7 linked regions of the Macaca fascicularis genome follow. The protein of the gene in region 4 interacts with the protein of the main gene of each other region in a pairwise test. Links are inferred from orthologs where the notes say so. Each region holds a gene or a part of one and is shown on either strand. Other genes may lie near its edges. The genes, in order: POLL, DPPA4, FAM107A, LDOC1, PSMF1, FAM50B and ZGPAT.

Region 1 (4,011 bases), on a different chromosome or scaffold from region 4:
TGGGCTGTGACTGGTCCAAGTACCTGTGGGGATGGTGATGGGAGGTTAAGACACCAAAGGTCTCACCCTGTTTCTGTCCCCAGTCCTAATGTATTCTGAAATACTTGGTTTCCCAGTGTGTCCAATTAAGAAAATGAGTTTTTTGAGGTTTTTGGAGTTTCTCTTGAGATAGGGTCTTGCTCTATCACCCAGGCTGGAGTACAGTGGTATGATCAAGGCTCACTGCAGCCTCAGCCTCCCTGGCTCAATCAATCCTCCCACCTAACCCTCATATAGCTGGGACTACAGGCATATACCACCATGCCTGGCTAATTTTTAAATTAATGACAGTTATTTTTAATAATTCAAGAAGAGAGCTCAAGATGCTACTAGAAAACATTGGAAAAAAAGACTGGGATCAGCCCACCTACTGGGGATGAAGATGCTGAATCCAGCTACATCCACCAGCCTCCTCTCCTGAAGGCACAAGCTCAGCCAGGCTGACTTCACCAGCTGAGCACCCGGGGGCAGCCGGGGTAGTCTGAGAAGGCGGAGGGCTCGCTCATAGTCCATGCCTTCATCCACCACAATGTGAGTGACACCTGGGCCCTGGACAGGGCATAACTGGCCACCATGCTGAACAATCTGCTTCTCAAAGAGTTCTGCCCGGGCTCGTCCAATGCCAGTGCGCACAACATGGGCCCGAAGGGAGCTCAGCCACTCTGGGGAAGGAACATCCAGATGACTACTGTCATAACTTTTTAATTTTATCTGCCACCCCCTGGCCACAACTTCTAACATGATCTGAATACAACTTCTAACATGATCTGAATGACATGTTCACAGTCCCCTACCCTGAAAATAAGCATTTGTCTTCCATCCAGGCAGGTTTCCTTCTATATACAGCAAATTTTCTCACAGGCCAGTACTTGAAAGTAAGGGACAAGGATTTTTATACGTCCTGTTCCTTGGTGCAACCTAGAAGTGTCTGGCACATTGTAAGTAACCTGTAAATATCTGCTGAATGAATGCCTCCTCCCTTCTTACTTTGTTTTTGTTTTTGTTTTGTTTTTTTCGTTTGTTTGTTTGGAGACAGTCTCACTCTGTTGCCCAGGCTGGAGTACAGTGGCGTCATCTTGGCTCACTGCAACCTCCATCTCCCGGGCTCAAGCGATTCTCATGCCTCAGCCTCCCAAGTAGCTGGGATTACAGGCATGTGCCACCATGCCTGGCTAATTTTTTGTATTTTTGGTAGAGACGGGGTTTCGCCACATTGCCCAGGCTGGTCTCGAACTCCTGAGCACAGGTGATCTGCCTGCCTTGGCCTCCCAAAGTGCTGGGATTACAGGCATGAGCCACCGCGCCCAGCCTCTCTCCATACTTTGAATCCTTTATCATTTATTCTTTCAACAATGCACATTTCTTGCCCTTACACTCTGACAGACCCGACAACCCTGCCTCCAAAGCCTCTGCTATTTATTTATCAATTTGGCTGCAAAACAACTAACAACAATCCTGGGTAATGGAGGGGGGTTTCTGTCCCAGTCCCCCAGGGCAAAAATTATACTGGTCATTCCCTGAGGGTCCAGGGAGTCTTTTCCAATTGATAGGGGTGTTCAGGTAGAAAAGAAGATAACACAGCAAATGGCCTGTCCAAGACCCAGGACCAAGCTTAGTACAAGGCAGATACAAACAGACCTGCAGTCCATGGACAGGCAGAGTCAGCTCCAATATCTGATTCTGGACATGAACAACATAGGGCTGAAGCACATGAAGGCTGAGGGTTCAAGCGCATGAGGGTTCTGAGAGTGGGTCATCTCACCTTCTGCTTCTTCTCCCTCTTCCTTCCTGGGAATCTTTGCAAGTACTTTTGATGATGCATCAGCATGAATTTTCTTCCGTTTGGGAAACGCCTTCAAGATACCCCTGGGATCCATTGAAGTACGGCTGCATCCCAGCCTGTTGGAGGGTTGGTCAGGGCTGCTGTCAGGTGGAAATACAGAATTAAGGATCTCCAACCCCTTTGCCTATGGAGGTAGGGGGTAGCAGCCCAGTTTGGGGAAGCGGGAGGTTGGGGGGGATCTCTTCAAACCCCGTTAAACTAGCTTTTTAGCCTAGCTTCACACTCCCCAGTCTTTCAAAGTTGGAGTATTAGGGGAAATGAGGGGAAGGCTGGAGCCATCGGGGGTACTTTTAAGGAGTAGGAAACTATACCCATTCCTCAAAGGGGTTGCTCTAAAGATTCAGCACAGCCCTCCTGCTGCGGCCCACTTCGAAGGGCTTTACCAAAATGGGATGCTGGGCTAGGAAATGGAGCTTTAGGGGATGGAGCGGAGACTGGGGAGGACCTGCACATAAACTCCACATACTCTTTTTCTCCAACACAGACTTGCAGAGGAAAACCTGAGGAGGCGGACTTTCGCGGGTGAGTGGGAACGCCCTGCACCTGCCCTGGTCTCAGCCTCTCGACATGGGGATGCTCAGCGCCGCAGCTGCGGGGAGATGGGGCACGGCCGCAGCAGGTGTGGGGAGCCCTCCGGGAATGGAGGAGTCTCGCAGCTGGGGGTGAAGACCCGGGCAGGTGTGGTGTACTCGCCCTGTACGCAGCTGGCGCAGGCCAGGGAATCCCAGCTCGGGGCTAGTAGAGAGTTGGAGTGCCCAACCCCGGCGCCAAGAGTCTCTCTCCAACCGCCAGAGTCAGTCCCTGGGTGCGGTCGACAACAGGCCAAGTTGGTCACCCGAGGGTGGGCAGGAGTAGGCCACTTACCAGGAGAGCCAATGAGAACGGACGAAGGGGGGAAGGAGGGCAAATGCCCAGAATAGCTTCCGAGTCAGCCGGAAGTGACCTTCAGTGGAACGGTTGCCATGGCAGCGGCCGGGCGGGCTGCTTAGCAGAGGAAAGATGGCGGTGACGGGCTGGTTGGAGAGTCTGCGGACAGCCCAGAAGACTGCACTGCTGCAGGACGGTAACTCGAGGGTCCCCGCGAGCTCCTTCGTTTTTTTCCCCCAGGGTCCGGCCCTCCGGGAAGGGCCTCAGGGCCTGGGTCGGCAGAGCTGGAAGGGTCTCGGTGGTCAGCCGGGCCAGGTCCTGCATTTGCGGATGAGGAGACTGAGGCTCACAGAGATGACATGACCAGAACACATGTCTCCGGACACCCCTTAAATTTCTCTACACCATCTCGCCCCGCTCTGAGTTCTGTTGCTAATATAGTAATTTCTTTTACATTCGTTATCTCATTTGCTCCTCACCACTGTCCTGAGAGGCTAATTTTCCACCCCGTTTTACAGAAGAGGAAACTGAAATCCAAGAATGTTTTAGACTTTAGAGAGGAGAGAGGCCTGGGCTCTAGTTCCGACTGTGCCATTAATTCACCACGGGCTCTCCAGTTGGCACCTTTACTTGTTTGGGCCTCACTTTCCTCATCTGTAAAATTAAGTGGATGGACTACCGTTGTTATCTCTGAGGTCCTTTCCAGCTGTAATATTTTTGTTAAGTGAACCTCTAAATGTTTTCTGTGTCTTAAGGGGAGCTAGAGCAAGGACCAAGGGCTGTGCATGGAAGAAGTGGGCACAGGGGCATGGATATCTAACTTTTCCTCACCCTAGGATTGGCCGATGTCAGCCCCCTGTGCACTTGGGTCCTTTCTGGACCCACTGGGTAACCAGGATGAATTGTGTCTGAAGTTCCTGAGACTTTCAAGATAATAGCTGGTGATTCACATTCACAGGCAGAGGCCAATCAGGGAAGCCTGGAGTTTGTGGAAATTAAAATCATTTACTCGTTCGTGCAACATTTAGGGAGGCTTTTACTATGTGCCAAGCTCTAAACTAGAACAGAAAGAAAAAGATATGTTGTCACAGGACTTGGACTGGTTGGGAAAAACATGTATTTAAGTAATAAGATGTGTTAAATAGAGGTTGTAGTCTTGTATAAAATGGTAGGAAAGAGTGAAGGTGTAAGCGACATGTCTTTGGAAGAAGACCCAACAGAAGTGATGATGTTTCTGGGTCCTGAAGAATTAATAAGGCCAG
Region 2 (3,500 bases), on a different chromosome or scaffold from region 4:
TTTTCTGGAACCCAGGCTTGACCAGCATGAAACTGCAGGTGAACCCAACCATCTGTGTCTGCAGGGAGACTTTTCCCATGGACCACACACCACCTGACACCTGGCGAAGGAGAGAGACAGGCACCCACACACCAGGATGACATACCGAAGTAAGGCTGCATTATGGCCCATCACCCTTGATTGACCAACTCCAAGATGTGAACCCTGAAATCCTAACTTAACCTCTTCTCTATTCTGTTCTCCTTTAGAAAAGCATACAAGACAGTTCCTGTTAAAACTTAAAAATCTAGGCGGGGCACGGTGGCTCATGCCTGTAATCCCAGCACTTTGGGAGGCCAAGGCGGGCGGATCATGAGGTCAGGATATCGAGACCATCCTGGCTAACACTGTGAAACCCCGTCTCTACTAAAAATACAAATTAGCCGGGCGTGGCGGCGGGCGCCTGTAGTCCCAGCTACTTGGGAGAATGAGGCAGGAGAATGGCGTGAACCTGGGAGGCGGAGCTCGCAGTGAGCCATGATCACACCACTGTACTACAGCCTGGGCGACAGAGCAAGACTCCGTCTCAAATAAACAAACAAACAAACAAATAAATAAATCTAGTTGGAAGTAGTATAGTTGTAGGTGGGCAGATGGTAGAAAGACTAACCCAGAGTGTCTGGAAAGGGCTTCATGAAACAAGCTCAGGGGCCCCAGCTCTGAACACACATTGGATTGTGCTAAACAGTTTATTGTCTTCTTTTGTTGTATTTTCTGTAATTCTTACAACATATAAGCTAGGTGTCGCCCATTTTACAATGAAAACACTGGGAAATATTTTAAATAACTTATTAATGCCATTCTGGGGCTCAGCTGCAGGCAATTAATTTTAGATCTTACTTTTAAATTGCTTAGGCCGGGTGCGGTGGCTCACGCCTGTAATCCCAGCACTTTGGGAGGCCGAGGCGGGCGGATCACAAGGTCAGGAGATCGAGACCATCCTGGCTAACACTGTGAAACCCCGTCTCTACTAAAAATGCAAAAAATTAGCCGGGCGAGGCGGCGGGCGCCTGTAGTCCCAACTACTCGGGAGGCTGAGGCAGGAGAATGGCGTGAACCCGGGAGGCGGAGCTTGCAGTGAGCCGAGATCGCGCCACTGCACTCCAGCCTGGGCGACTAAGCGAGACTCTGTCTCAAAAAAAAAAAAATAAAATAAAATAAAATTGCTTAAAGGGGAAAGAAAGAAAACCAAACTGCTATCCTCTTCTGATGCCATCAATCATTTAAAGCAGTGGTTCTCAAACTGTGGTCCCCAGACCAGCATCCTTACTGCTGCCCGGAAAACTGAGAAATGCAAACTCTCGCTGGGTGCAGTGGCTCACACCTGTAATCCCAGCATTCTGGGAGGCCGAGGCAGGCGGATCATCTGAGGTCAGGAGTTTGAGACCAGCCTGACCAACATGGAGAAAACCCGTCTCTATTAAAAATACAAAATTAGCCGGGCATGGTTGCGCCTGCCTGTAATCCCAGCTACTCAGGAAGGCTGAAGCAGGCGAATTGCTGGAACCCGGGAGGTTGAGGTTGTGGTGAGCCAAGATCGCACCACTGCACTCTAGCCTGGGCAACAAGAACGAAACTCTGTCTCAAAAAAAAAAAGAAAGAAATGCAAATGCTCAGGTCCTGTCCTAGACCTGAATTAGAAACTCTGTGGGCAGGGTCCAGGAATCGCCGGCCCTCAAAGGCATTTTGATATACCCTAAAAATATATCAGGCATTAATCTCTACTAAGCTTATTTCCCCACTGGACCAGAATAAGCTCTTCGTGTTGGGCTTACCACAGGCCTCTTGTGGAGATTCCACTGCCTCTGGCGTCCTCGCCCTGGCCGAAATTCTCGCCCAGGAGGCCAGCAAAGCCTCTGGGGCAGAAGTTGTCACCACAACTGTATTAACTCCCTCAAGGAGAGCAGTGGAATCTTCCAGGGCAGGCGGCCCCTCCGCAGGGGGAAGGGCCACTTCAGGAGGATGTGTCTCAGAACTTTGCAGGGACGTTTCCCCTTTTTCCACCTTTAATTTTTTTTTCAATGATTTCCGGATTTTGGCCTCTTTTGCTGTGCTAGGAAAATCCTACAGAAAGGGTTAGATAATAAAGATAAAAATAAAGATTAAAATTCTAACAAAAATAAATGGCCTCAGAGTTAAGAAGTTCTTGATCAAATGCAAAGTTTCACTTAGACAGGAGGTCTAGGTTCAAGAGATCCACTGTACAACTTGGTTAATTACAATGTACTGTCTTCTTGAAAATTGCACAGTTGGCTGCACATGGCTCAGGTCTGTAATCCCAGCACTTTGGGAGGCCAAGGTTGGTGAAACACTTGAGGTCAGGAGTTCAAGAACAGCCCTGGCCAACGTGGTGAAACCGCATCTCTACTAAAAATACAAAAATTATCCAGGCGTGGTGGTTCATGCCTGCAATCCCAGCTACTCAGGGGGCTGAGACTGGGGTATCACTTGAACCAGGGAGGCGGAAGTTGCAGTGAGCCTGCACTCCAGCCTAGGTGACAGAGGGAGACTCTGTCTTTAAAAAAAAAAGAAAGAAAGAAAATTGCTGGCCGGGCACAGTGGCTCACGCCTGTAATCCCAGCACTTTGGGAGACCGAGGTGAGCGGATCACGAGGTCAGGAGTTCTAGACCAGCCTGGCCAACATGGTGAAACCCTGTCTCTACTAAAAATACAAACATCAGCCAGGCGTGGTGGCAGGTGCTGTAATCCCAGCTACTCTGGAGGCTGAGGCAGGAGAATCACTTGAACCCAGGAGGTGGAGGTTGCAGTGAGCTGAGATTGCGCACTGCACTCCAGCCTGAGCAACAAGAGCGAAACTTTGTCTTAAAAAAAAAAAAAAGAAAGAAAGAAAACCTGGGCACGGTGGGGCTCACGCCTGTAATCCCAGCACTTTGGGAGGCTGAGGTGGGCAGATCACCTGAGGTCGGGAGTTTGAGACCAGCCCGACCAACATGGAGAAATGCCGTCTCTATTAAAAATCCAAATTAGCCAGGTGTGGTGGCGCATACCTGTAATCTCAGCTACTCGGGAGGCTAAGGCGGGAGAATCATCTGAATCCGGGAGGCAGCGGATGCATGGAGCGAAATTCTGTCTCAATAATTATAATAATAATAATAATAATAATATAGTATGTAAAGTGATGTATGTATTAATTAGCTTGAGTTAGCCATTCCACAATGTATACGTATTTCAAAGCCATGTGCTGTACATGATAAAAATATACAATTTTTGTCAATTAAAAAAATTTAAGTGCTGCCTCTTTTTATTTTTGAGACAGCGTTTCACTCTTGTGCCCAGGCTGGAGTGCAATGGTGCATCTCAGCTCACGGCAACCTCTGCCTCCTGGTTTCAAGCAATTCTACTGCCTCAGCCTCCTGAATAGCTGGGATTACACACATGCACCACCACACCTGGCTAATTTTTGTATTTTTAGTAGAGACAGGATTTCACCATGTTGGCC
Region 3 (4,067 bases), on a different chromosome or scaffold from region 4:
TCAACTGTCACACACACTCCCAACTATTTTTTACCTGCCTATCAGTCTCCACAACTGACAGGGATGGCCTCAAGGGCAGGGGCTGTGTCTCCTCACCCTTGGCTCCAGCTCCACACAGGCCCTGGCACAGGGCAGCAGGTGCCTGACCAACAGCCTTCTGTGGGAGGTTGGGGTGGGGCTGAGGAAGATGCCGTGGACAGAGCTATGGACCAGGAAGGGTGGGATGGGCTGGGTTGTTTGGAATCAAGCAGAACGGGGTCAAAATCCTACCCAATAAAAATAAGAAATAAAAATAAAACTTTAAACACCCCCCTACCCGGCAAGTGACTGAACGGACCCCCTCTTGGCCAAGGAGACCCCAGAGAAATCTTGAAAACCAAGTTTCTGGCCATGACGGGATGGGAGGTTGCACGCGCCCCGTAGTGCCCCATCCCTTGATAACCTCCATTAGACTTTCTTCCCTAAGAGCTAAACAGAAACCGGCCTTTTCAAAAGACTCCATACTGATTTCAACCAACTGCGCCTCCCTTTTGTGGTTTTAACACAAAAACCAACCAGCATTTTTTCTTGATAAGAGACCGCGGATCATGGAGCGGTTCTAACCAGTCTGCAGAGGATGCACAGTGAGGGTTTTTGTGCCCCCTGCTTCACCTTTGACATCAGAGGGCTGAAAACTCCACCCTCTGATCACACTAAGGCCAACATTTTTTTGTATCTCGGGCCCATAAGAGGCATGGAGCTCAACTGTGCATGCAGATGTTTCTCCTTTCATAAATATGCATGACTCCTCCCACAGCTTATTGAATATGTATATTTGGCCATGCTGCTCAGCATAAATTTCTATTCCCTTTGCCTCTTCCTCAAAGTGTCAGTTTCTGGATTCTGGCCAGAGGCCATGCTTCCCAGCCTGTCAGAATGGCCACCCTGCAGGCTGCAACTCTTTATGAGAAATAAAGCTCCTCTTTCCAAATTAACAACAGCAACAACAACAGCACCCTGCTCTTTCCCCCACTAGCTGCATGACCCTGGCTAAGAAATTACTTCTTCCTTGAGTTTCTCAACCTTGATGGAACAGGTCATCACTGGTTGCCTGAGGATCAGAGTCCCCTGTTTATTGGGGAGCCTCTGGGGGTGGGGTAGCACACAAAGCACTTCAAAGGCATCATCTTGTTGAACCTCCCACGAAGCAGGTACCAGCCCCCTTTTACAAACAAGAAGCTGAGGTCCAGAGGGGTTCAGGTCATCGCCTCAGTAGGTGGGTGGTGGAGCTGGGACCCGGCAGCCTGGCTATGCCACTGGGACGGCAGTGCTGAGTCGCTGTGGGCGGAGAGCAGTGAGCATGTAGGACAATCCTGAGAGCTAGTAAGTGCAGGCCCCTCCCCTCTTTGCCCCTAAGAGGCTGACCCAGGAGGTCTGACTGGCCCTGAGAAAGTGACTGTTTCACAAGCTCCCTCCTATTCCCCACACCACAACGCTGATGCAGGGGTCCACAGAGCACATTTCCAGAAACACTGCTAAGGCAGTGCTGTCTACAAACCTCTAGCTGAGAGCTCAGGCTTAGAAGGCGAGAGATAATAACATGAACAGAATTCTAATAATAACGGAGCAAAGCCTCTACACAGTGCCAGGCAGTGTTCTAAACACTTTCACTCACTTAATTTTCACAATGATTTTCCAAGGTAGTGATTATTAGTGGCCCTATTTTACAGGTGAGGAAATAAGGTACAGAAAGCTTAAATAACTTGCCCATTGCCCTACAACTGGTAACAGCTGGTTAGTCAACTTTATAATAATAATAATAATAACAATTTTAAGATCTTTCCCCTGTATCCACCTGTGTCAGACAGTCTCCTGAGGTATGGGGAAGGGGTACCCAGGGAGCTTTTACTCAGGGAAGTAGAGATGTGTGTGGTTAAGACCAGGGAGCCAGAGAGATTTGGCTGTCCCCAAGTCTGTCCTAGAGATGGAGAGATAGGGCACTGGTTTTTCCCTGAGCCCCAGCCTGCCTTCTAGATGCAAGTCTTGGCTGTGAGTTCCAGGAGGAGGGCTGGTGGGCAGTGCCAAATGAAGCTTCAGGGTAGGTGGGTTGGGGCTCCCACTTGCTAGGTCTAGTCTCCCTTCCCATGTCCAGGGCCCCAACAGGACACTTGGGGGTTCCTACCTTCTTCCCCTGGGCTGCTCCCATGGCACGAAGTGGGCACCAGGCCTGGGTGGGCTGCAGGGGCCAGGCTGGGGTCTTCCCTGATGGCGTTGATCTCAGGAGCCAGGACCCAAGGGGCTCCCGGGGCCAGGGCCCCCTGTCCTCTTGCGGCTCATTCTCCCAGGCACAAAGGCGGCTTTCACAGCTGCTCCTAAGCCTGGAGCGCCTCAGACAGGCTTAGGGCGATTGATCCTGACAGACGGGCCAGTGTCCCCAGGCGGCTTCCATGCCCTTCGTGGGTCCCTGCAGCTCCTCACCTCCCAGAACCCCGCCTTTCTCAGGAAGGGAAACTGAGGCAGCTGGGAGCCGAGGGAAGACGCAGAGCAGTCCTCTCACCGCACACCGGTAGCTCAGGCGCGGCAGGTGACCTCTGGCTGGCCCAGCGGGCAGGACTTGGCCTTCTCGTCTTGCTGGGCACCGCTCAGCAGACAGGGCCAGAGAGTGGAGGCCATGGGCTGGCTGAGGTGCAGAGCTCTGGGAGGGCTGCTGGGGATGTCAGCTTCAGCTGGATGGCCCCATTAATAATAGACCTTTGAAGACGCTTGAGGTCCGGGGCTCTCCCACGGCAGAAACTCTGAGAGCGGACTCCTTCATTCAACTGGGCAGCAGGCTGCCTGGGAGGGCTGGAGGGTGGCTGGTCTGGGCTCAGGCCAAGAAAATATCTGGAGGCCGGATTTCAGGCCTGGGGCCAAGTTCTCAAAGTGCCCCCGGCAGTCACCCTCCTCCTCATTTGCCAGCCTCTTCCTTCTCCGTGATGCCAGCTTGTGGCCGAGGTTAAGGCTGAAGAGACCTTGGGCTTGAACTGTAGCTCTGTCCCCGAGAGTTGTGTGGCCTTGGAGGCACGATGTCGTGCGTGTGTGTGTGTGTGTGTGTGTGTGTGTGAAGCACACTGCACAGAGCTATATGGGGTAAGGTGTGTGTGTACAGCTCAAGCCATCGTTTTGTGAAAGCATAAATCAGAGCGTGTCGCTCCGTCTTATCTGTCACTTCACCAAAGGTGGGGTAACAGTTGCCCCCACTGCATGGGGCTGTGGGGATGCACAGAGCATCTGGCAAACAACAGTTCCTCAGAGAAGTTAGGCACTGCTGCTATCACGCTGCTAAGAACACAAATGATAAGTCCACTGCCCACTGGAAAGTCCCGAATAACCAGTTCACTAAGCACAACACCCATTCCCAAGAGGCGGGTGGGTTGGGGAGAACTTGCCACCCTTTCCTTTCCTCTAGCACGGTGCCTGGCACACAGTAGGTGCCTGCAGCACATACACAGATGACTCACAGAATGGCAGCTGGTGGAGAGTCAAGAATTAGGCATTCTAGATCCAGCCTTGCCAACAGAGCGAGATCCCCCATGGTCCACAAGTTCTGATCAACGGTCTTGCTAGGACCCCGTTTCCCTCTCCTCCCTCTCCCTGGCAGTTTCTGGGTCACAGCACCTCTCCCCCCGTCTCAGGGCCTTTGCACTTGCTATTCTTTCTGAGTGGGATGTTCCCTCCCCCACTTCCCCTCCATTCCCCATATGTTGAGCGTTGCATGATTCCATCCTTTTTGTCCTTCAGGCTCCTCAGAGCAGCTTTCTCCGATGCCTTCTGCAAAGCAGGTCCCAGGCTCTCTGTTTATTACTTTGTCGTAGCACTCATCAGCAACTGAAATGATAGGACTTCTGTGTTTATTGTCTGTCTCCTCTGCCTGGAAGGGCAGTTCCACAAAGGCCAGGGCCTGGTCTGTCCTGCTCCTCAGTTTACCCCGAGTCTAGAGCAATATTAGTAGAAGAATCCATGATGGAGGATTAAATGAAATAGTCTAAGTAGGTCGAGTGCTTAAGGCAGTCCTGGCTCATCGAAAGTGCTCACTGCATGGCACTGCT
Region 4 (4,292 bases):
TACTCACCCCTGTCCCCACCCTCCAGAAACAGCTATCCTAGGTGTGAGATATAATTCCTACCCTGAACTTTGCCTGTTCACCACGTAAACAGCTTTGTTTCTTGCTTCATATAAGACTTCAAAAAGTAAATGGGGTCTTATCATGCTCTCATTTCCATTATCGCTGAACCTGCTCTGCTCCTCTTTACGCTGACATTTTCCTACTAAAGCCACGCTCAGAGCCAGAGACTTGCTTCCTGAGAATTCTGTCCCCAGGCCCAGGAGTAACAGCCCATGGTTTACTGAGTGCTCACCATGTAGCAGGGAAAGTTCTAAATGCTGCATGGGTATGATCTCATATAATCCACACCTATCAGGTGATTAATATGAAGCCCCATATCTCATTTAATCAACACTGAGGTTTACCAGTACAAATGAAATATCTTGCCTCAAAAGGCCTTAAACAGTAAGGAAATGTGTTATCTAAATTAATTAAAGGTTATAAAGTGAAGTTGGCTCCAGACATGGTACAATGAGGGAGGACATCTGGACAGATATAAATGAGAACTCTGAACCCCTCACATCCTCCTAAACCTTTCTAAGAGGTAGTCCTGTCAAATCCCCAACCAAGCTGCTCTGCATTAAACATTTCAATGACTTAACCTGGGGCAATGGCCTCACACAGGTATGCAGTTTCTTCTCAGCAGCCACCCCCTTCACTGCTCTGAACCCTCCAGGCCCAGAGATCTCAGCATAGCCCCCAGATAGCAGTACAAAGTCTGATTTAAGAGATAACCAAGCATCTTGCTAATTTCCATAGGGAGGAATCTGGGACACATCTATGAGTGGAAATTCTAAGGATGTCTGCCCAAGGAGGATGAAATGTTTGTTAAGATCAGGGTATATCTTTATGGATGCACTTGCCCAGGATCTGGGACTTAATGTTAGCTAGAGCACCTGTAAGTGACATGTTGGCTATTTGGAGTTTGAAAGTGACAATGTACTATGTTGGCTCTCTGGAGCCTGAACTCAACAGCTGCATATAGGCAATAAGGATTAAGGGGCAGAACTTCCCTGGCACAATATTAAGGAATCCAAAAGCTCAGAGAATTAGGAGCAATACATATATATGTCCTGGTTTATGCCTGTTGTTATGGTCTAATTATTAATACTGCCCTCTTTGCCATCTGCTCAGCCAACCCTTACCCATGCCACCCTGGAGGACCCAGAGAACACACCCTTTGCCAGGGCTTTAAGAAATGCGTTGGTGAAGGAAGCATCAGAACCCTGACAAAGCCCTGAGGTAGCTGTCCCCAGCAGCCTGGAGTTGACAGCAGGGATTCCTAGGATTGGTTGTATTCCCTGATTTCCATGGGAATAACGGTAGTCACAGTGACAGTTCTAGAGGTCAGTGATAGCACTTAACTATTAAAAGACAGTCATTTCGTTTTTTAGTGCTTGATATTTATTGAAAATAATGCCAATGCTTTTTCCAGGTAGTATTGAGGAGCTGGGCTGAGTGCTTGTTTGTTTTGTTTTTAGTACTATTTGTCCAAATGCATACATCTGTGGGACTGCTGCAATTTTGAAAGAAAAATGACAGCTGTGTAAAACCAGTGCATAGGAAAAAAGAAATATCAACAATTTGGCTGTCAGGCACACCGCGCCCCTGCAGCAATCTGGTATGGCAGGGGAGGACACTCGGAGTAGGTAGAAAACTAACCAGGCTGAATGATTGGCCTCTTCAGGGGTTGGTGAGCTGTCCAAATCAATGTCCGAAGAGGCAGAGCCAACTCTGGCATTTTCCAGGTTGGTCCTGATCTCGAAAGGCGGTAGTCTGTAGGTGGGATGTGGTGAGTGGATGTGAAGTGGCAGCATAGTTCTCTGGGCAGATGTAAGCCTGGCAGCAGGGCAGGTGGCAGCAGCAGGGCTATGGGTGGTCTGCGCAGTTTGTAACAGGGGCCTGGCCAATAGCTGGGGTTCAGGACACAGTTCAGATTAGCAGGGGAGGGATCCCCGGGATGGCCAGGGTAGATGACACTTCCAAGCACTTCCGAGTGAGTGAGGCTCCAGCCCCAACCCCAGCAGCAGGTAACTGGAGCACTATTCCTGGAACAAAGACAAGCACTACGGAGAAATGAAGAAAGAGCAGACGGGCGCGGGTAGGGAAGGGGACCGGAGGGCAAGGGGGAGAGCAGTGGCTCCTGGCGGGGTGAGGGCTGCGGGGAGGGGGTGACGGCGTGCAGGGCCCTCCCCCCGAGGCCCGAGGGCCTAGTAATTATCCTCTTCGTCCTCGTCGTCGTCGTCTTCGTCGTCATCCCAGCCAAAGCACTGTTTCATCTCATCGAGGAAGGCTCGGTAATCACCTAGGATGGGGCTATCCATCTCGATGTAGGGCACCACCCACTCCTCGGCTTCCCCGGTGAGGAGACTGATTAGGAATGCCACCTTCATGGCGTCGTTGCAGAATCGGTTCTCGTTCACGAGCATGTAAGACGCTGTCTGCACGATAAACTCGGGGAGCCGGGAGCTCTCGCCATTAAACGTTTCGGGGAAGGGCACCGGGCAGCTCGGCGGACGTACCTGGCGCAGCAGGCTGGCCCTCTCGCACACCAGCAGCCGCAGCTGTTCCATGAGCTGGCTGTTCTCGATGGTCAGGGCGCGGTGCCGCATCAGGAGCGCGTGCAGCAGCAGCACCAGCTCATCCACCATTGCGAACAGCCTGGAAGGACAGGGCTCGGCTCGGTTCGGCTCGGCCAAGGTGCGCACGGAGGCCTCGCAGGAAGTGCGTGTCCACGGAGACGCTCGATGGCCAGGGGCTGGGGGCGGGGGGCGGTGCGCGCCGGGGTCCGGGAGGCTACGCAAGCTCCGCCCACGAGGCCATTCGGACGGATGGTGCGCCGGCGCGGCGCGGGAGGGGCGTGGCCAGACTGGGGGCCGCGGCTGCGTGGGGGCGTGGCCGGGATGGGAAGGGTTTAGACAAAGAGGGCGTGGCCAGGAAAAGGATGCACTGGGTCGCTGAACCACCGGCTTGTGGTAGGTCTCTAGGCGGGCAGTTAAAGGCTGGGGTAGGCTCCCCTAGCTCCTGGTTGTGGGGCCTGCGTTAGCAGAGGACCTGGCGAGCGCTGAGTTTGGTCTCAGAGAAGGCAAATTTGTTCAAACTGAAAGGATTAGCCACCCTTCTACCTAGGCAACTCTCACAACTCAGTTGTTCCTTCGTGGGTCTGTGGCCACTAGATTCTCTTGGCGTGATGTTTTATTAACACATTTTCTTTCTTGTTTAAATCTCACTCAGAGAAGTATTGACACTGCTGGCTGCACTGTGGGACTCACACTTCCTTTTAGGATCATGAAGACCTTCAGGGGTTCCTGCCTTTCATGAAAAAGGCAGTATTTAAACAGTGACTTCTTTAGTAGGGGAATAATACGGCATACTCCCTTAAAACAAACAAACAAAAAAAAACAAACCTAAGTAGCAGGATATAAAGAAGTTTTGCAAAATGAGCATCCAATAATCAATTGCAGGCATCCCACATATCTTTGATTCTCTATTTCTTGTCCTGCTGTTAGTGCCTTTGGCCACTGGGTTTTATTCTGTACTTAAAAATGAACTGTTAAGATGTTTGTGTTTTTAAATAATTTTGTTTTTCTACTTTAAACGGATCCCTGATCCTAGAGCCGACAGGAATTGTTGGCTCTGCTTTCAAATATATTGCCAATTCAGTCATGACTTGTCATTTCTACCACTGCCACCCTGATCCCCAGCCTTTCTCACCCAGACTGCTGCAACTAATCACTTAGCTTTCACTCTTTTCTTCCTATAGTATATTCTCCATAGAGTAGCCACAGGAATCCTTTAAAACAAAAATTAGGGCCGGGCGCGGTGGCTCACGCCTGTAATCCTAGCACTTTGGGTGGCCAAGGAGGGCGGATCACGAGTCAGGAGATCGAGATCATCCTGGCTAACAGGGTGAAACCCTGTCTCTACTAAAAATACAAAATATTAGCGGGGAGTGGTGGCAGGTGCCTGTAGTTCCAGCTACTCAGGAGGCTAAGGCAGGAGAATCGCTTGAACCCGGGAGGCGGAGGTGGCAGTGAGCCGAGATAGCGCCAGCGCACTCCTCCAGCCTTGGTTACCAAGCGAGACTCCATCTCTAAAAAAAAAAAACAAAAACAAACAAACAAACAAACAAAAACAGTTAGATCCCTTCACGCCCCTGCTCAAAATCCTCCAGTAGTTTCACCTCAGAATAAAGAGCAAAGTTGCAGCCAAGGCCTACAAGGCCCCTCCTTCTATCCTGTGCCTCTTCCCA
Region 5 (2,455 bases), on a different chromosome or scaffold from region 4:
GATCGGGACCCATCTTAGTGATGTCAGGAGCAATGGCAATTAATGAACGGAAGATGCCTGAGAAGCAAGAATGGGCCCTGGGCAGGAAAAAGAGTCATTCAGCCCTACAGAAACTCAAACTCTAAAGTCTCATAAATGGAAGGAGCTATGCATTAATGTAAAAAGAAAAGTGGGAAGCCGGCAACATGAATTCTGTATTGACATTTGGTTCTTAATAATAACATCCAAAATGCATTCTGTTCTTATAGCACTGCATCTGGTCGAGGATATATGTTGCTGAAGGTTGCCGGAGTCTCCCTTGGGAAGTGGGGAGGAGTTGGTGGTGAAAGGGGAGGAGCTGGTGGTGAAAGAGACACACTGATTTCTCTTTGGGAGCTATCCGCAGCTAGGTGGAGAGCTGCAGCAGGTGTCTTGGCTCTGATAAGGGGTGGGGAGGCTATCCCAGCCGGCCTGCAAACATGTGAGCAGAATCCCTTGCCCCCAGCCCGCAAGAACATGGTTGCTGATGGGGACAGCAGTGGCAGCTCCAGGAGAGTGGAGGGAAGCCTGGGATGTTACATTCTTGAGGCCTTCACAGGTACATGTCATCGTAGCCCGGCGGGGGGAGATGGTCTGGGTTAGGTCTGGAATGGAAAGAGGGGCTGATGAGTTGGAGTGATGGAGAGACCAGGGGGACATGGGCAGACGTGACCCTGCACTGAGGGAACCTGCCCTTCAAAATGATGTGGTGGTGTGAGGAATTTAAAAACATGCACTCAAGAGCCAGACAGCCTGGGTTTGAATCCTGACTCCCCCACTTGGTATAAGCTACCTAATCTTTCAGGGTCTCACTTTCTGTATCTATAAAATGTAGACACCACTATCTACCCAAGACTGCTGAAGAAAGGATCCAATGAGTTTCTGACACATACTTAACTTTCAAGAACTGTTAGTTCCTCCTCCTACTTTGAGTCCTCCCCAGAGGGGAGCTGGGGAAAGAGAGGCACTGAGGGATAGGGAGCTCCTAGAAGGCTCCAGGGAGACATCAGGCAGGGCCCTGGAGGAGGCTCCACTCTCCTGGCAGCAACAGGTGAAGGCAGCGGCAACTGTGTGCCTGGGGCTAGAAACCTTCGTTGCTGCCACACTGAGCCAAGCTGCCATCAGGTCCTACTTCTCAGCATACCTGAGTGACTACCTACCCAGGTGGGCTGGTCCCAATGGGTCCGAAGGGGTCAAAGCGAGCTCCTGGGGGCACAGCGCCTGGAGGAAGCCGGTTCGGGAGGCCTGAGGAAGGGTCAATAAGTGCTCTTGGGAAGCCAGATCTCAGGGGATCCACAATCATGCCACCTCTCCGATGCCTAAGGCAAGAAGAAAAGTTGGGTAAGCAGGTGTGGCAAGGACTGCCCTTGGAGAACAGGTGAGGGAGGTGAGAATGGACCAAGAATGGCTGGGTTGTCTAATGTGGATGGCCCAAGCAGACATGTGGATGGCTGCCTGAGAGCCAGCAAAAAGTGGGCAAGGGCAAGAACACAAAGCCTATACGAAGAGCATACTTCACAGCTGAGTACTTTTGGCTCTGCAGGGGTTGGTTCTTCTGCACAGTGCTTTTGGTTCTGTAGGGCTCCTCAAAATTGAGATCCCTGCCTTATCCTATACCCAAGAGGGCCAACTTGATCAAGACCAAGAGCCAGAACTTGCCAAGGTCAACTTCAATGCACTCACAAGGTTCTGCAGGGTGCTACTCTAGGTTTAAGGACTAATAATAGCATTGAGAAAATTCGTGATGTTGGTTTTTTTTGCTCTTTCCCTTAAGGGCCTCAGGGCAATTTCTGACTGCCTGTAGATTGCCTAAGTCTGGCTCCTGACAGCATCTGTCCCTCATGGAGTTCCATGGACCTGACCTCATGTGCTCAAACTAGGATGAATGAGCTGATGGTTCCCCAAATTTTGAGGTCACTGCTTAGTTATATCCCCACTGTCTAGGAATGAGATGCTGAAGTTGGGGTCACTTTGCGGCAGAGGTTAAGATCTAGTTGGAATCATTCAGGGAAGAGAGTGGAGAGCAGAGGCTATAGTAACTTTGTTGGATGCATGATAAGAACCGTCCAGAGTCTAATGGGGCTCAGAGGCTCCCTTTATCAAGTGGGGTAATCTCTGAATAGCCCTGAGCTGCCCTAAGGCCCACCATCTGCTCTTCACTATACAGTTGATAAACTAGGGTGGGCAGGGGGACCGGGAAATGGCAGAAGAGCTGCCTGCTGGGCTTGCTCACCTCCCTGCCAACACTCAGCGCTCTCCTGCACTGCTCTAGCTGAGGAGGGACAGCGCATGTGGCAGTGCTTTCTCAGCTGCTCAGCAACAACTCCCTCCTCCACCCCAAAGGAAGAGACTGACTGAAAACTCTAAAATTAGAAGATGAACTGGGGCTGAAAAGCCATAAAAGCAAGTTGTGTCGCTGCCACCTCCCCAGCAGTAC
Region 6 (3,645 bases), on a different chromosome or scaffold from region 4:
TACAGGCACAGTTTTTTTATTTTTAGTAGAGACGGGGTTTTACCATGTTGGTCAGGCTGGTCCCGAACTCTTGACCTCAGGTGATCCACAAACCTTGGCCTCTCAAAATGCTAGGATTACAGGCGTGAGCCACCACACCCGGCCTGAATACAATATTTTTAAAAATCAAAATTAACATAAATAATTCACAATGAATAAAATACAAACGTTTTCAATAAAGACAGGATCTGCAACTGTGCCCTTTGGAGTCATATTGGAGCAAAAGGAAAATCAATGATACTCACCCTGCAGGCTACTTGCATTAGCTCTGTCCTCCTAACTTCTGGGCTAAACAACCCAGCTAAAGGCAACTAGAGGGGGGGTTGCTCCCCAACCTTTGCAAGCCCCCTCCTGCTGGCAACTGCTGATCCTGGGACCGGTAATGGGCAGGTCCACCTTTGCCCTCAAATGGTTCTGAACTAGGTCACTGAAGTCTTTTAAATAAATTAACCAAAACCATAATAATAACAAAAAACATTTATTAAGTGCTACGTGTTTTACAAATATTAACTCAAACCTCACATCCATCTTTTAAAGTAAGTGCTCTTGTTATTTCCTTTTACAGCTGACCAAAGTGAGGCATGGGGGTTTAATAAGCTTACCCAAAACTACACAGCAAGGAGGAAGCTGCGTCGGGAATCAAACTCAGTCACTGTGGCCCCCAAGACCATGCTCATAACCATGAGGTAAAAAATGTGCCTCCTCTTCTAATTTCTGTCTCACAGTGGGCCCAGACATGGTTTCAATACAGCTCAGCAGAGCAATGCAGCAAATCCAGGTAGGGACACTAAAATACTCAGAAAAGACCAACCAAACAACCAAAGCATAACATCAGCAATAGGACAACCAATATGAATCATGAGAACCCTCTGGCTTTATTAAATTTGGGGGAAGAAATCAAGGTCAGGAAATCAAGTGACTGGTGGCGGGGCATAGAAAGGAGTGTCTCCCCCGGTTTCTGCTCTGGCGGGCGGGTGTCAGCGGATGGTGTACTTGTCCCACTTCTTCTCGGGGTCGTAGGCCTCCCAGCGGCTGGCGGGGAAGATGTGCTTGTTCTTCTCGTACCAGCTCCGCAGCACCACCTTGCCCGCGTGCGACTCGTCCTTCTCCATGGTGGCGTCGCTGAGCAGGCGCACGTCGTCGTGCACATCGAAGTTGAAGAGCGGCCCGCTCTTGCCCCTTGCCTTGGCGATGATGAAGTCATAGAAGGTGTGGTAGTGCGGCAGGATGAGGTCCTCCTTGATGAACATGAGCTGCTCCACGCCCGCGGAGCGCAGCTCCAGGAAGTCCTTGCGCAGCCCCTGCAGCGCCTTCTTCAGGAACTGCTGCACCGTGTTGCCCTTGCGCACACGCACGGTGCGCCGGTGGCCCGAGCCGTCCCAGTAGCTGAAGGTGACCTCCATCTCCTCGTCCTTCACTTTCTCGCGCTGCGCCTCCCACTCTTGGCGCAGCTCCTCCCGGAGCCGGTTCTCCTCCTCCTCGCGGTCGCGGTCGGGCAGGAAGCTGGTGTCCACGTCGGGGTTCTTGCCCAGGTTTCCGGCGCGCCTGGCCTCGGCCGCGTCCGCCTGGTCATCGAGGTCGTCGAGCGCGAAGGACAGGCAGGAGATCTTACGCTTGCGCTCGCGCCGGTGCTCCTGCTCCCGCAGCCGCTCCTGCTGCAGCCGCTGCTCCTCCAGCTGCTGGCGCTTGGCCAGCTGCCGCTCGCGCTCCCTGATCAGGGCCTCCTGCCGGGCCTTCATGTCGTTCAGGGTCACCAGGCCCACCGTGCTGGACTTCAGCTCGGCCTCCACGGCATCGTAGTGCGCCGAGAACTTCTTGTCCACCTGCGACTTGAGGATGGTCTCCTCGGCGATGCGCTGCTTCAGCACCTCCATCTGCTCCCGCTGCTTCTCGCGCTTCTTGAGGAGGTGCATGGCACGGCCCGCCTCGCGCATGGTGCCCTTGTACTGCGCCATGGCCCCCGCCTACCCGCTGGGCTCTGCAGCAAAGAGGAAAAACGGGGCAAGTAGAGAGGGGCCCGTGCAACTGCGGGAAATGCAAAGCTCTGCGCCTCCTCACAGGGCTTTCGGCAGTGATGGAAGCGTTTAGGGGCTGGGCCGACCTGCTAGGGTCACCAACGTGACGGTGTCACCACGCACCAATTTCCAGCCTTTTCTTTGACCTCAATAAATGCAAATGCAAATGGCCCCACGTAACTGGTGGCTGCCATGCCTGAGCGCTGCGCTGAATTTGGGGAGCTGCATACAGAGAGGGTTGGGCTACTGAGCGAACCCTTACCTGCCCAAGCACCCTGCCGAGCGGAGACACGCGGGAGTTGACCTCCACGAGAACCACCCACGAGCAAAGGCCCACCCGTCCCGGGCTCTCGCGACAGCCACGGACACAGGAAGTGGAAGCGGTGCGCCCCCTGGCGGGGAGGCGGGCCCTGAGGAGAGCGCCAGGCTCCTGGTAGGGCGGCTGCGGAAACAGGAAGTGGAGGCGGCTCGCCCCCTGGCGGAGAGGCGGGCCCTCGGGAGAGCGCCGGGCTCCTGGCGGGGGCGGTGCTCCTGTGGGGCGGGCCAGCGCGGGGAGGAGCCTGGAGGAGGCGCCTCTGGCCCTGCCCAGCCAATGCTGGCCGGAGCTCCTGTTTTCATGCTGTGGGCAGGGAGGGCCCGCACCTGCGGTGCGTGCTTGCTGAGCCTTCTCGTGCCCAGTTGTAAACACGCAGAAGCAATGTGGGCACAGCGCAAGCTGCTGTGGTCACCCAGAGAGGCTTGCAACCGCCTCGCAAGGCTGCAGCCCCTGCTCTCCAACTCTCCTCCTCCCGCGTCTCCTCCCGCCTCTGATGCTACCCCACTGTGGCCGTCTCATGAACGTTACCTGCACACCACTGCTTGTAATTCTTTCTTATGGCCCTAACATAACAACCGTTCTTTGATAATGGAACCCTACTCACCCCCCAATTTCATGACAAAACCTGCACTCAGCTTGTTAGACCTCTTCTATACAGCAGTATCCCCCCGGGTTCTAAGCTCTAATAACCATGGGAAACTGAGTTAAAGTATAGCAGTGTCTTTACTGTGAGCCTTTAACATGCCAGTTTCCACTGCAACTCTCCAAGGGCAGGGCAGACCAATTCATGTTGTGTGATCGTTTCTCCCCTGCAGGAGATCTGGGAATACTCGCTGAAACCAGTGCTTCCTGGGACCTAGTTTGGAAAAGCTGGTTGTGAAATACACACTGCAGTTCAGCCTACTCCCGTCTAACAGCAACAATGCCTGTGAGCATAACCTTACCAAGAAGCGTGAATCATATGATAGTTACGTATGGCACCCACGTATCCAGAGGAGAATAGCGGGTGTGAGCACTCATCAAATTGTCCAAGCCAGAAACCTAGGCCTTTTCCTGGAATGACGTTCCTTCACATGAAATCGATTACAGAAGAGCCTTTCACATTTTCCTTTTTCTCCCATTCCCCACCACTTGCCTTAATGTAGGAAATTAGCATTTTTTAAAAATCTGAAGCCTTCTCATTGTTGCCTCATCACCAGAATACAAGAATATCTTATTTTATTGAGCTCTGGGATACTGTGTGTTTTGTTTTTGTTTTTACAGATTGAAGATTTG
Region 7 (4,165 bases), on a different chromosome or scaffold from region 4:
CCTTACTGTTTAGACCTCTTACTGTTTAGACCCACGGTGGTGGTGATTTTGGATAGACTCATTCCCTTGTAGTTCTTGTTAAACCGGGTTTTTGACTGTTCCAGGAAGGTCTGAGGAGAGAGGGAGAGGCAGACACATCAAGTAGGGGCTACACTGGCTTCCCAAATATCCTTCCTCAGGCCTGTTCCTTAAGAGAGAAAAACAGAAACAAAGCAACACTCTGCTCTTCAGGAAGCTGGTGGTGACAATCCTGTCGTCTCAGGTGAAATGTGGATTCCATCTGGGTAGTGAACATGCAGCTGACAGCACAAAACCGAAGCGGGGGCCACCCGGCCGTGGGAAAGGTGCGGGCAAGGGAGTGGGCACTCACCGTCTTCCCAGCATTGTCCAGGCCCAGGATCAGGATGCAGTACTCGTCCTTCTGAAACATGTACTTGTACAAGCCCGACAGCAGCGTGTACATCCTGCCCTGGGCGCCCCAACATGTGTCAGTGTGCAGCCGGAACGCAGCTCCCCGCCCCCGGGCTTCTCCACGGTGGTCAGGGGCGCCCCACGTCCAGCTGGCCGCTCAGGACCAGAGCCTGGGGGCCATTCCCGACTCTCCCTCCTCCACCGCACCCCTGCAACTCCTCCCAGGCCGGCCGCCACTCCGTCCTTCCGCTCACAGCAATGACTGCGACCTTTCCGAACCCGCAGCGGCTCCGGTCCCTCCCCTGCTCGCGGGACCACCCAGCCGGGTGTTCGCGGTGAGCTCCGCTGCGCTCCCGCCCTCCCCCGAGGTTTCGCTCCCACGCTTCACGCGCGCGGAACGGGGAACACACTCGCGGCAGCCCCGCCTGGGCCCCCGCGCCCCACCCGGGAGCAGCGAGCCGCCGGCGCGCTCCCCAGGAGCTCCCCAGGGACGCCCCATCAACCCATTTCTTAAAACGGGGACGGCCAGCGGGAAGCGGACTACAGGGCGGGTGCGCAGCGGCCCGGCTGCTCCCGGAGGCGGCGCGCGGCGGGCAGGGAACGACTCCCGCGGAGAAAGAACCCGCGTCGGGGACCCCGGCTACGGCCGCCCCATGCCGCGGCCGCCAGGTTGGAGGCTCGCCGACAAGCAGCCAAAGCTGGTTCCTGTCACACCTGCGTCCCACCTCCAGCTCTGGGCCGCCCCTCGGGCCTCGCGCCCCACCGCATAGCCTGCGGCCTACCTGCGACCGCCGCGACCTCGGAGCCGCCGCTGCTGACCCCCGCTGACCTCCGCTGACCCCGCGCTAACCCCGCGCGGCGCCTGACGGGACGAGAGCCGGCCTCAGGGAAGGAGCTGAAACGCGTCCCGGCGGCCTCCGCGCTCCGCTTCCCGGCTGCCCCCGCGCGCCAGGCACTTCCGGAAGTGGCGGCGCTCGGGAGGAAGTGCTGGTCGGCGGCGGGGACGAAAGGGGGGTGCCGGGCCGCTCTAGCCGGTGAGGCCGGCGGGCTCTCTATGGCGGCGGCTGGGAAACCGCGCGGGGGAGGTTCCCTGCCCGGGGAGAGGGGACCCCGGTTTGCGGGGACGCGGCCTTGGCCAGACTGCAGAGACGCCGGGCGCGGGGGCGGGGCCGGCCTGGAAGGCAGCGGGCGCGGCGGGTGGGCTCGGCGGAGGGCCGGGCGGCGGGGCGCCCCGCGGGGAGGGGGTCTCCGGAGTGACGCGGGACCCGGCTAGCGGCGAGCCCAGGGCGGCTCGGAAGGGAAGCGCGGAGCCTGAGCGGGGGTACCCGGTCTGCGACCTCTGCGCTGGGAGCTGTGCCTCTGAGCCGGTGTCTCCCCGAGGGACAGGGGACGTGCCCGTGCCCTCCCGCAGTCTGTGGGGCCGGTCCCGAGACGCGAGGCTCACCTGGCTTCTCTTCTCGCAGCCCTGGTCCAGCGCCTCCCTCTCTCAGCATGGACGAGGAGAGCCTGGAGTCGGCCTTGCAGACCTACCGTGCGCAGCTGCAGCAGGTGGAGCTGGCCCTGGGCGCCGGCCTGGATTCGTCTGAGCAGGCGGACCTGCGCCAGCTGCAGGGGGACCTGAAGGAGCTCATCGAGCTCACCGAGGCCAGCCTGGTGTCTGTCAGGAAGAGCAAGTTGCTGGCCGCGCTGGACGAAGAGCGCACGGGCCGGGAAGATGCTGAGTACCAGGCTTTCCGGGAGGCCATCACTGAGGCGGTGGAGGCGCCAGCAGCAGCCCCTGAGTCCGGATCAGAGACCGTTCCTAAAGCAGAGGCGGGGCCCGAATCTGCAGCAGGTGGGCAGGAGGAGGAAGAGGGAGAGGACGAGGAAGAGCTGAGTGGGACAAAGGTGAGCGCACCCTACTACAGCTCATGGGGCACTCTGGAGTATCACAACGCCATGGTGGTGGGAGCGGAAGAGGCTGAGGATGGTTCGGCGGGTGTCCGTGTGCTCTACCTGTACCCCACTCACAAGTCTCTGAAGCCGTGCCCGTTCTTCCTGGAGGGAAAGTGCCGCTTCAAGGAGAACTGCAGGTAAAACCCTTTGTTATCAGGATGCCAACCTTGGGGCGTAAGGGGCACGCACACAGGGTCGGGTCAGGGTGGCCCTCCCTTTGCTTTGCAGTTTTGTCTCAGCTTCTTGGGGCAGGCATGCTTTGTGACAGCAGTGTCTGTGTTCAGGCGTCTGCGTCTTTGTTCCGGGGTAAATCAAGAAGCATAGAAGGTGGCCGGGTGCGGTGGCCCACGCCTGTAATCCCAGCACTTTGGGAAGTCAAGGCGGGCAGATCACCTGAGGTCAGGAGTTCAGGACCACGCTGGTCAACATGGTGAAACCCTATCTCTGTTAAAAACACAAAATTCAACTGGTCGTGGTGGCGCGCACCTGTGGTCCTAGCTACTCAGGAGGCTGAGGCAGGAGAATTGGTTGAACCCAGGAGGCCAAGGTTGCAGTGAGCGGAAATGGAGCCACTGTACTCCAGCCTGAGCAACAGTGCAAGGCTTATGTGGAAGAGAATAGGTCTCCAACCTATCGTCATTGTTTTTTTGTTTGGTTGTTGTTTTAATTTTTTTTGAGACAGGGTCTTACTTTGTCAACCAGGCTGGAGTGCAGTGGCGCAGTCCTGGCTTACTGCAGCCTGGACCTCCTGGGCTCAACTGATCTCCTGCCTTAGCGCCCCTAGTAATTGGGGTACAGACTCACACTACCACATCCAGCTAATTTTTGTATTATTATTACTTGTTTATTTATTTATTTTTTGAGATGGAGTCTTGCTCTGTCGCCCAGGCTGGAGTGCAGTGGCGCAATCTCGGCTCACTGCAAGCTCTGCCTCCCGGGTTCAAACAATTCTCCTGCCTCAGCCTCCCTAGTAGCTGGGATTACAGGCACCTGCCACCATACCTGGCTAATTTTTTTGTACTTTTTAGTAGAGACGGGGTTTCACCGTGTTAGCCTGGATGGTCTCAATCTCCTGACCTTGTGATCCGCCCACCTCAGCCTCCCAAAGTGCTGGGATTACAGGCGTGAGACACAGTGCCTGCTTTTTTTTTTTTTTTTTTTGGAGATAGAGTTTCACTCTTGTTGCCCAGGCTGGAGTGCAGTGGCATAGTCTCAGCTTACTGCAACCTCCTTCTCCTGGGTTGAAGTAATTCTCTGCCTCAGTGTCCAGAGTAGCTGGAATTACAGGTGCCCACCACCACGCCCGGCTAATTTTTTGTATTTTTAGTAGAGACAGAGATTCACCATCTTGGCCAGGCTGATCTTGAACTCCTGACCTCGTGATCTACCCGCCTCAGTCTCCCAAAATGCTGGGATTACAGACGTGAGCCATCACGCCTGGCTAATTTTTGTAGTTTTAGTAGAGGTAGGGTTTTGTCATGTTGTCCAGGCTGGTTTCACGCTCCTGAGCTCAAGTGATCCACCTGCCCTGGCCTCCCAAAGTGCTGAGATCACAGGCATGAGCCACTGCGCCCGGCCCTGTTGTTAGTTTTATTCTCTAGAGTTCAACTTGAAAACTTTACTTTTTTTTTTTTTTTTTTTTGAGACAGAGTCTCGCTCTGTCACCCAGGCTGGAGTGCAATGGCTTGATCTCAGCTCACTGCAAGCTCCGCCTCCCGGGTTCACGCCATTCTCCTGCCTCAGCCTCCCGAGTAGCTGGGACTACAGGCGCCCGCCACCTCGCCCAGCTAATTTTTTTTATATTTTTAGTAGAGACGGG

Evidence for each region.
Region 1: the proteins of LDOC1 (region 4) and POLL interact in a two-hybrid assay, tested with the Homo sapiens proteins (2 studies listed by BioGRID and IntAct). The two-hybrid records come from large-scale screens. The link is inferred for Macaca fascicularis from reciprocal best matches to the Homo sapiens genes LDOC1 and POLL.
Region 2: the proteins of LDOC1 (region 4) and DPPA4 interact in binary tests that used the Homo sapiens proteins (3 or more experiments, as listed by UniProt). The two-hybrid records come from large-scale screens. The link is inferred for Macaca fascicularis from reciprocal best matches to the Homo sapiens genes LDOC1 and DPPA4.
Region 3: the proteins of LDOC1 (region 4) and FAM107A interact in a two-hybrid assay, tested with the Homo sapiens proteins (2 studies listed by BioGRID and IntAct). The two-hybrid records come from large-scale screens. The link is inferred for Macaca fascicularis from reciprocal best matches to the Homo sapiens genes LDOC1 and FAM107A.
Region 5: the proteins of LDOC1 (region 4) and PSMF1 interact in binary tests that used the Homo sapiens proteins (3 or more experiments, as listed by UniProt). The two-hybrid records come from large-scale screens. The link is inferred for Macaca fascicularis from reciprocal best matches to the Homo sapiens genes LDOC1 and PSMF1.
Region 6: the proteins of LDOC1 (region 4) and FAM50B interact in binary tests that used the Homo sapiens proteins (3 or more experiments, as listed by UniProt). The two-hybrid records come from large-scale screens. The link is inferred for Macaca fascicularis from reciprocal best matches to the Homo sapiens genes LDOC1 and FAM50B.
Region 7: the proteins of LDOC1 (region 4) and ZGPAT interact in binary tests that used the Homo sapiens proteins (3 or more experiments, as listed by UniProt). The two-hybrid records come from large-scale screens. The link is inferred for Macaca fascicularis from reciprocal best matches to the Homo sapiens genes LDOC1 and ZGPAT.

What each region holds. Positions count from the first base shown.
Region 1 is NC_088383.1:110,560,526-110,564,536, forward strand, and holds the start of POLL (DNA polymerase lambda), read right to left. Parts: upstream 2,801-4,011; 5' UTR 2,747-2,800; exon of another isoform or gene 2,349-2,746; intron 1,963-2,348; exon of another isoform or gene 1,939-1,962; 5' UTR 1,917-1,938; coding exon 1,802-1,916; exon of another isoform or gene 1,775-1,801; coding exon of another isoform or gene 1,678-1,774; intron 702-1,677; coding exon 407-701; intron 24-406; coding exon 1-23. Other genes in the region: protein DPCD, read left to right, coding at 2,882-2,945.
Region 2 is NC_088376.1:173,739,436-173,742,935, reverse strand, and holds part of DPPA4 (developmental pluripotency-associated protein 4), read right to left. Parts: intron 2,104-3,500; coding exon 1,815-2,103; intron 101-1,814; coding exon 1-100. UniProt on the Homo sapiens protein: May be involved in the maintenance of active epigenetic status of target genes. May inhibit differentiation of embryonic cells into a primitive ectoderm lineage.
Region 3 is NC_088376.1:121,733,594-121,737,660, forward strand, and holds the start of FAM107A (actin-associated protein FAM107A), read right to left. Parts: upstream 2,801-4,067; 5' UTR 2,186-2,800; coding exon 2,162-2,185; intron 1-2,161. UniProt on the Homo sapiens protein: Stress-inducible actin-binding protein that plays a role in synaptic and cognitive functions by modulating actin filamentous (F-actin) dynamics. Mediates polymerization of globular actin to F-actin. Also binds to, stabilizes and bundles F-actin.
Region 4 is NC_088395.1:147,494,884-147,499,175, reverse strand, and holds the start of LDOC1 (protein LDOC1), read right to left. Parts: upstream 2,801-4,292; 5' UTR 2,692-2,800; coding exon 2,251-2,691; 3' UTR 1-2,250. UniProt on the Homo sapiens protein: May have an important role in the development and/or progression of some cancers.
Region 5 is NC_088384.1:86,226,481-86,228,935, forward strand, and holds part of PSMF1 (proteasome inhibitor PI31 subunit), read right to left. Parts: intron 1,338-2,455; coding exon 1,179-1,337; intron 624-1,178; coding exon 572-623; 3' UTR 1-571. UniProt on the Homo sapiens protein: Plays an important role in control of proteasome function. Inhibits the hydrolysis of protein and peptide substrates by the 20S proteasome. Also inhibits the activation of the proteasome by the proteasome regulatory proteins PA700 and PA28.
Region 6 is NC_088378.1:169,219,106-169,222,750, forward strand, and holds FAM50B (protein FAM50B), read right to left. Parts: upstream 2,418-3,645; 5' UTR 2,317-2,417; intron 2,018-2,316; 5' UTR 1,995-2,017; coding exon 1,017-1,994; 3' UTR 501-1,016; downstream 1-500.
Region 7 is NC_088384.1:119,823,809-119,827,973, forward strand, and holds the start of ZGPAT (zinc finger CCCH-type with G patch domain-containing protein), read left to right. Parts: upstream 1-1,365; 5' UTR 1,366-1,445; intron 1,446-1,874; 5' UTR 1,875-1,902; coding exon 1,903-2,483; intron 2,484-4,165. Other genes in the region: ARFRP1 (ADP-ribosylation factor-related protein 1), read right to left, coding at 23-110, 371-469, 1,126-1,179. UniProt on the Homo sapiens protein: Transcription repressor that specifically binds the 5'-GGAG[GA]A[GA]A-3' consensus sequence. Represses transcription by recruiting the chromatin multiprotein complex NuRD to target promoters.